Linked DNA regions of Rattus norvegicus. The protein of the gene in region 2 interacts with the protein of the main gene of each other region in a pairwise test. Links are inferred from orthologs where the notes say so. Each region holds a gene or a part of one and is shown on either strand. Other genes may lie near its edges.

What was found.
Region 1: the proteins of Ush1c (region 2) and Ush1g interact in binary tests that used the Homo sapiens proteins (3 or more experiments, as listed by UniProt). The link is inferred for Rattus norvegicus from reciprocal best matches to the Homo sapiens genes USH1C and USH1G.

The regions. Positions count from the first base shown.
Region 1 is NC_086028.1:101,059,486-101,063,782, forward strand, and holds the start of Ush1g (pre-mRNA splicing regulator USH1G), read right to left. Parts: upstream 3,080-4,297; 5' UTR 3,077-3,079; coding exon 2,913-3,076; intron 436-2,912; coding exon 1-435. UniProt on the Homo sapiens protein: Plays a role in pre-mRNA splicing by regulating the release and transfer of U4/U6.U5 tri-small nuclear ribonucleoprotein (tri-snRNP) complexes from their assembly site in Cajal bodies to nuclear speckles, thereby contributing to the assembly of the pre-catalytic spliceosome on target pre-mRNAs.
Region 2 is NC_086019.1:105,862,800-105,866,609, forward strand, and holds part of Ush1c (harmonin), read right to left. Parts: intron 3,751-3,810; coding exon 3,607-3,750; intron 3,502-3,606; coding exon 3,363-3,501; intron 1-3,362. UniProt on the Homo sapiens protein: Anchoring/scaffolding protein that is a part of the functional network formed by USH1C, USH1G, CDH23 and MYO7A that mediates mechanotransduction in cochlear hair cells. Required for normal development and maintenance of cochlear hair cell bundles.

The DNA.
Region 1 (4,297 bases), on a different chromosome or scaffold from region 2:
GGCAGCTGGCTGCCCAACGTCATGTGCTGCAGCCGGCGGCTCAGAGTACTAGAAGTGAGGCTGGAGAAGCTGAGCGTGTCGGAGCGCTCGGCCAGCTCGCGCCGGTAGCGCCGCTCCATGCGCTCGTGGTGCTTGCGCTGCATCTTGGCGCATTCACGGATGCGCCGCTCCGCCTCGCGGAACGCCTTGTCCTTCAGCTTGCCCACTAACTTGGGGTTGAGGCTGCTCTGCTTGGCTGCGATGGAATCCAGATAGCGCACACACTCCATGTGGCCCTTCATAGCGGCCATGTCCAGCGGCGTGTGGTAGTCATTGTCCAGGCACCAGATATTGGCTCCGAACGACACGAGGAAGGACAGGCAGTGCAGGTGGCCATTGGAAGCTGCCAAATGCAAGGGTGTGTTTCCCCAGATGTCACACTTATCCGGGTCACCTCTGTAGGGACAGCATGTAGAGAGGTACGATGAGTCCTTTTAGCAAGTCATTTCTGGGGTCTGATTGGAGATATAAGGAATCTTGAGGGGTGAGGAAAAGAAAAAAGAGGGAAAGCCCACAGACATTGTGAGCCCCCTGGACCTGCAACGTAACAGCCACTAAAACAGAAGTTCTCAACCTGTGGATCGCGATCCTCACTGGATCATCATATATTAGACATCCTGTATCTCATACGATTCATAACAGTAGCAAAATTACAGTTATGAAGTAGCAACAAAATAATTTTATGGTTGGGGTCACCACAACATGCGGAAACTATTAAAGGGTCGCAGCATTAGGAAGGTCGAAAACCATTGCCCTAAAATAAACCCATGGAATTGAGATTTAGACTTCCAGGAGAGCAGTGGGCTTGAGCCAACAGATGCATCATAACTACGCACAGCTACCAGGGGTGGCTGGGACCCAACCCACAAAGGGGCGGGGCGACCTAGGAGGCGGGGTGGGGCGGGCCTTCCCCTAGAGAACTGAGGGCTGGGAATCTCAGGGGATAAATATTTGATGCACTGAGAGAAAGGAGTGAATTATTCATGGGCCCTGCGGGGAGCTGGCCCAGAGAGGTGGTGGGCCAGGGCCGAGTCTGGGTCTTTAGGCAGGCGCGGTAGTTTATGAAGCCACGTTACAGGGTGACTGCGTAAGAGGACTAGAGGGTGGGTTGTGTTAGTGCTGGGCTTAAGCCTGGGAGAGCGTGAGACGGTGCATGCTGGTATACAGTGGGCACCGCCATGTCTGCAGGGAGCGGGGCCAGGCCTGGCAACGCCAGTGTTAGAGCAGGTGTCGGGTCTTGGCCTGGGCCAGAAGGGGACTGTGGGGACAGCCAGAACTAGAGAGGAAGAGGGCAGCGACCTGGTCGTGCTGTTCTCCCTCATTTAGGCTGCCCCACGAAGCTGGGTAGCTTTGCCCCCTCCGGCAGCCCTCTCTGATGCCCTCCACATCTGACTTCAGCCTACAGCCCACCCAGCTCTGCTGGCTTCTGTAGGAATCTTACCTCTTTGTCTCTGTTTATCTCTGTCTCTCTGTCTGTCTCTGTCTCTCTGTTTCTGTCTCTCTCTCTGCGCCGTCCCCCCACCCCCACCCGGGTCTAGCACCGGGCCCTACCCCACACTAATGAGGCCACAAAGCCAGCCTCAGGTCTGGGGGAAGAATCATTCCCTTATCTCAGCACCTCCCCTCCCCACAGCTTCCCCCTCTGATTACCCGTATAGGGTCCTGTAGGGAAGGGTAACAGACCCTCCCTCATCAAGCACAAATCCTTGCCTCAATAGAACCTCAGGGCTTGAGACAGCTTTTTCCTTCCAGACCCCACCTCCCTGCACGAGACTCCCATGAGCCTCTACGTTGGTTGGGGCCGGGGATATAGTACTGTGTGCCCTCCTGGAGTCTTGGGCTCTGTCTCAGTTGCCTGATTCCACATTATTCCCTCATGCTGCTAAACCAAAGGAGAAGACACAGAGAAAGAGGGGGAACATGTCCCCACATATTTTAGCTACTCCAATACCAGGGTCAGCACAATCCCTGCCCCTTACTATGACCCCTAGTTAGAGCCTGAGGCATTCATATGAACCCTCTTGGGGCATCCTTTTCCTGTCTAGGTCACACCAGAGTCGAGGCCAGTCCTACTAAACTGTTGACTGGTAGGATGTCTCCAGTAATGTGATTTAATCCCCTTCTCCCACCCCAAGCCACTTTAGTGATCCTAGATCCACATTGCTTGACTCATCCTCCAAACCCCTCGACTCGGTGCCCACCCTCCCTTCCAGGACAATGCCAGAGGGAGGGGGAGTGCAGATGTCCCTTCTGCACACTACAGTTTCCAGATCCTGGGTTCTGCAGAGGGGGAGGGGTACAGAGAGTTAATCACTGTCTGGACCAGTGACATTTGGTAGTGTGGACAGTGCCCATAAATCCCAGAAGAGTGGTGGGAAGGCACAGGTCAGTGTGAACCCCAGCCAGTGGGGACTATTGATGCTGTAGGGACAGTCTTTTGGCTCCTAGGTTGGGAAGTAGGCAGTGAAGGTCTCTCCTTCCTGAACTCCCAAGTTCTAGGCCCCTGGAGACTTCCCAGCCTTCTCTCAGGTTCCCACCTACTTTTCACTCTTGCTTCCAGGCACCCCCCAAAAATGTCTTTGACTTTTGAATAACTCTGCAGCCCCATTCCATAATCATAGATCCCATCCCCGAATTGAAGTTCCTCTCCTCTAATCCCTGCATCCAGTCCATAACTGTCACAAGCTCAGCTTATGTCCCCTCCACGTGTGTCTCTCAAAGTGTGGCAGGCTGCACGGCCCCACCTTACGGTCTGTCTGTAGGGGCAGAGGGCAGCTCAGACAAGGGGGTAAGTAATGCCATGCCGTTTAGGACACGGGGGTTCAAGGAAGTTCTTCCTGGTCTCCTGCTGGCTAGGCAGAGGATATACTCACCCGCGGCTCACAATGAGGCGCAGCGACTCCAGGTTGCCATGGTAGGCAGCCCAGAGGGTTGGGGTCATGCCATCCTCGTCGGGGGCATTCAGCTCCTTCCGGGTGGCCTCCTTGAGGAGCTCCAGATAGCCATCCCTGGCGGCCCGGTGATATTGGTCATTCATGGCGCCCGAGTTGGACGGGGCGGGCAAGGGGCACGGAGAAATGTCCCCGGACGGGGAGGGCAGCCGGCTTAGGGCTGAGACATGGGGTTGAGGGAAGGGGCTGGGCAGGGGCCTGGGCCGCCAGCCCCTGCTGCCGCAGATGGTGGATGCGGAGCGCCAGAGCCAGGGCTACAGACGACTACAGACTACTGGGACATCTGAGCTGCACACCCGGGGAGGGAGGGGGAATCTCTCACTGCCCAGAGAGCCGCCCAGGAGCTTCCCCTGGGTCCTAAACGCCATGTTTTTCAGCACACAGACGTGACTCGAGGAAAATCCAGCTCTCTTGCCCCAAAAACGTCCATTCTGGCGTTGCAGCCCTTGAAGTCCAGTATAGGGACATCTAGTATATCCTGGGCAGAATTCCAGGTGCTGGATTCCCTGATTTCTTCACTAGTCAAAAAAGACAGATCAGGGGTTGGAGAATGGTGTGTGAGGGTGGGATGGAGAGGCAGTTCTGATGTGGAGGACAGTGGGCCTAAGGAGCAACCAGGAGGACCCAGCGCAAGACCATCCGCGAGCAGGGCGCTACAGTCCCTGCAGTTAGCCTACAAGCGTGGGGTCACACAACAGTTCTCCAGCAGGGGGCGCAGGACGACTGCAGACCGGCTGAGGGCACCTCGTGGGAACCAGACTTTGCTGCGTCCAACCAGCATCTCTGGGCAGCGGTAGTAGGGATACAGGAAGACCGAATTTGGATCCCTCTAAGGGCAGGTGGGGAAAGGTGTCCGATCTCGGGACAGCAATTCAAAATCCAAAATATAGGTGGTTCCTAAGCTGCGACAGTGTCTAGGTGCATGCGGGTACGGGGGTGGGGGTCAGCTGTACAGGCTTTGGGTGGGTGTGATCTCTGAGCACCAGGTTATGGTGGGTGCTGGGGGCGGAGGACCCTCTGGGTACTGCAATATGGGGTCGTGCCCGAACCCTGGCCGCACCAGCGTGACAAGGTGAGGGGATCTTAACAGGTAAATATAAATCTCACCTTATCTGGCTTCCCTAAATTCAGCTCGGAGGAAAGATGGATCATGTGAGTGGGACTGAGAGGTTTATGGAGCCGAGCTCATGTGGCTGTAAATCACTCTGCCCTCTCCGGTATAAAGCACCGGTCCAGCCCGGCGTGGGAGAGAGGAGTCGCTTGCTGCCCCTTGACCCCCAACTTGGTGTGGGCTCCCAGTGCAGCCA
Region 2 (3,810 bases):
AGGCCCACTAGCAGATGTTCCCAACCCCAGAAGGGGCTGTCACCAAGCAAGAGCTTTAATCTGTGCTCTAGCACGGTGTCGCAGCCGAACTACCCTCTGGTAGTGGAAGGCCACAGTTTTCAGTTTCAGGATGGAGAAAGCAAGATCTGGGCTGGGGAGAAGCATGCAGTTGGTGAGAAACAGAACTGAGGCAAGATTTAGAACTCTGTCCCCATCTCTTGGTACCTCGGTCACCCCACCGAGGGGCAATCAGGTTCTGGAATCCAACATCCCCATCTGGTCTTCGCTCCTCCCTGTCCTAGAAGCAGGCCTTTGTCTCTATCTGTTACCTACACCCGCGGTGAGCCAAAATGGGGACCCATGACCCTTGACCCAAGCTCACAGCACTAACATAAGAGTAATCCCATCCCATGGAAACTCAATGACGTTAAACCAACTTCTGAATCTTGATTCTGGGAGCAGGCAAAGGAAAGGGAACGAACACAGGGCGCTATGCTTTGGTTCTCCCAGGCTCGAATCCTTTTAAAATTCCTATTATTTTACGGCAGGAGTCAAGTCTCTTGGATTCTGTAAACCGTAGTTTCTTTCATATAAAACAGGGAATACCATGGAGTTAATGAGGGTTAAACAAACATATGTGTAAGTGTGTAAGGCCAGCCAGTACGGGGCCCACAGCAGGTTCTTAATAAACAGTTGTTATTATTAGAGGCCTTCAAAGAGGCAGCGCATGATGAGACTGCCCCCTGCTGGTCCTCACTGCTACCTCCACCAAAAAGTCAAAGGATCCTTGGCTATCAACATCTCCTGAGAGAAGACCGGGTGCTGAGGTAGGAATGGGCAAGAGACAGGATAGGGATGTGAGACAATGGTGTATTGCCCAAGGACATGAAGGCAGTGGCTGCCACGAGGGAAACGAGCTCAGGTGTCATGCAGGCTGAGGTTGTGACTCCCTGATACCCCATTACTGGTCTCTTGGAGAAAGGTTGGTATACGTGGGGGCCTCAGGGTAGACTCTGAGGGCACACGGTCTCCAGGTCAGTTCCCAGCCTATAATCTACAGTTACCTCTCATTACCACCAGGAAAGGGCGTGCCACTCTGAACGGCCACCTTCTCAGTGTCCCGATAGTGGGGCTCACTAAAGAACCTGCAGCAATCCTGGGGACACCGACTTTCAATAGAACATCTGGATAGCTCCCTGCACCTAATTTTTTACAACTCCAAAGGGCAGGAACTCGTGTTCCTGCTCTGCATAGAACCCGCCAAAAGGTCTTTATGTGGGACCACAGTGAAGAGACAGGGGATCAGGGAGGCGAAGTGATTTGTTCAAAGCCACTCAGTGAGTGAGGAGGCTGCTGGGATGTCGTCAGGACTCCAGGACAGACAACACACGTCGGCTTTCAGGTGTCTGGGAAAGGAGGCTAGGTGGCCAAGCCTGGGTGCAGTTCCTTGCGTGTTGCCTGCTGTGGAGTCCTGCCTTTTGTTCAGAGCCCTGGAGTCCCACAGAAGGCAGGGATTACTCTGTACGTCTTACAGCAGGGAGAGGGAAGGCAGGCAGAACCATTTTCTCCATAAGTAAACAGCCAGTTACATGCTTACATCAGTAAAGGACACAGTTAAACATAAGGAAGGTATGAAGAATCCTTAAGTATCCAGGAAGGGACAGGAGCCGTGTGGCTGAAGTCCCAGGACTAGGACCTGTTGGAGGGTTCAAGCCCCTGCAGGGCCCCCTGCGTCTCAGGGCAAATCCCTCTTGACTTCTAGAATCTTCTCTGTGCTGTCCCCCAGCACGAGAAACTTGATGGCTTGGTCAGTGGATGAAGGTGATTTTCTCCTAGCTCCTCCTGAGTGGAGTTCCCTGTATTGCTACCACAGGAACTTCCCAGGGACCCTAGTCGGAGTGATTCCCCCATGGCCCCTGGATAGGGTTGCAGGATCAACTTCCCTCTACTCCTTGCTCTACACAGAACCCTGCAAAAGAGTCTTTGTATGGAGCTCATAGTAACATGACAATCTGAGGGACAAAGAAAAGATGGGCCCCACAGCCCCGGAAAGGGGAGCGCTATTTCATAAGCCTGAGAAGCAGGTGGGAAGTTGGATGCCTGGGTTTCCTGAGCGTGCCCTGATGCCCTCCTTCATGAGGCTCTGCAGGGAAGCGCTTGTCCTCAGAGGAGTGCTTGTGCTGGAAAAAAGGGGGGCCCAGCCGTCCCTAAAGGGGGAACTCATTATGTTCTCTCCTCTGGCCGTGTTTCTGGGCTGGAAAATGTGCCACGGAGGGAAAGAACAATGAGAGGGCTGAAATTTCAGATGCCACCCGGAGCCCTGAGACACGGATTGCGAACAAAGCCTTGACTGTCAGCTTGCTGTCCCCACCCCCTCCTCCTTGGTCTCGCACCATTAGCCCTAGAGCCCCCTGAAGCCCCTGGCTCGTCCCCCGGTGGGGATGTTGATAGCAAAATCTCTGGAACTTTCTCTACCTGGATAGACAAAAACAGCCTTTAGTCCTGGAGGCCTGCCTACCTCTGCTTAGACAGGGACGTGGGGAGGAACTGCAGGGGAGAAGCCTGGGGTGCTGACTTGGCTCCAGGAGACCCAAGTTCAAAGCCTGGCTCTGCTGCTCATTGGCCCCTGCCCTTCTGTGAACACTCTAGAGTGGGGCTGACTCGTGTGATGTGTACTGACTCGTTGGAGGTGGTCATCAGGTCCCCGCTCTGTATGGATCTGTCAGTCTCACAGCCCTGGTGTATCAAGAAGCTGTGGTGACTGTCTCATTTACACCCCTGCTTTTCCAACAGCCTGATACGGCTTTACAGAGGGGGGAAAGTGAGGTCCAAGGCCAGGAGTAGAATGGGATGGTCCAGAGGCAGTGTCTGTCTTCATAGACATCAGTGCATTAGACTAAAAGGTGGCCGTACCAAGCTGCGGGTGCCCGCCTTAACCCTGCTCCTCCTTCAGGAAGTAGGAGGTTTGGGGAGGGGCTCAGTAGCAGTATCAAGAAGCAGCAGTCAGGCTCTTGACTTGACTCAAGAAAGCAGGCAAGGGCCGGATAGAGATTAGTGGTGGAATGTTTATGTGTGAGGGTAGACACAGATACATAGACACACGGACACACTCAGTTTAGTGGTGGAGTGCTTGCCTGGTATGCATGAACACACACAAACACACACACACAACATACACACACACACAGAGAGAGAGAGAGAGAGAGAGAGAGAGCATTTTCTGTATTCTGAAGGATTCCAAACACTCCCTTCCTTCCTCAAAGGCTTAAGAAAATGTGTGTCCACATTGTAACACAGAGTGGATCAGGAGGAGACAGGGCATTTGAGGCCCTGGCCCCATTCTACTGGCTCTGTTGACTTACCTGCAGCCCAACGCTGTCTGCCTGGCCACCTTTGATGAGATGGGAGATGAAGAGCCCACAGCCAAATTCCAGGCCTCCACGCACGCTGAGGCCAAGGCCCTCTGGGTGCAGACGGTCCAAACGCACCTCCTTCAGTTTCCTGTTACAGTCATGGGGGGGTTGGTTATGGTCCAGCTCAGGCTAACCCTGTGTTCCCAGGCTGGCCCCTCCCAGGCCTGGCCTCTGACTTGGGGACTGGATGCACCTGGAGCGTCGGGGTGTCAGCTGGTCATACTCCACCTGGTGCTTCAGTGGGATCAGGGGCCGGATGGCGTCGAAGAGTGGCAGGCGGTTGGGCTCATTGATGACCAGCTTCAGGTCTCCCACGAGCACAGCCACGTCCATGGTCCTTTAGAGATGTCAGAGGTTGGGTGAGTGGCTATGACCTTTGTCCCACCCCTGCACTGCT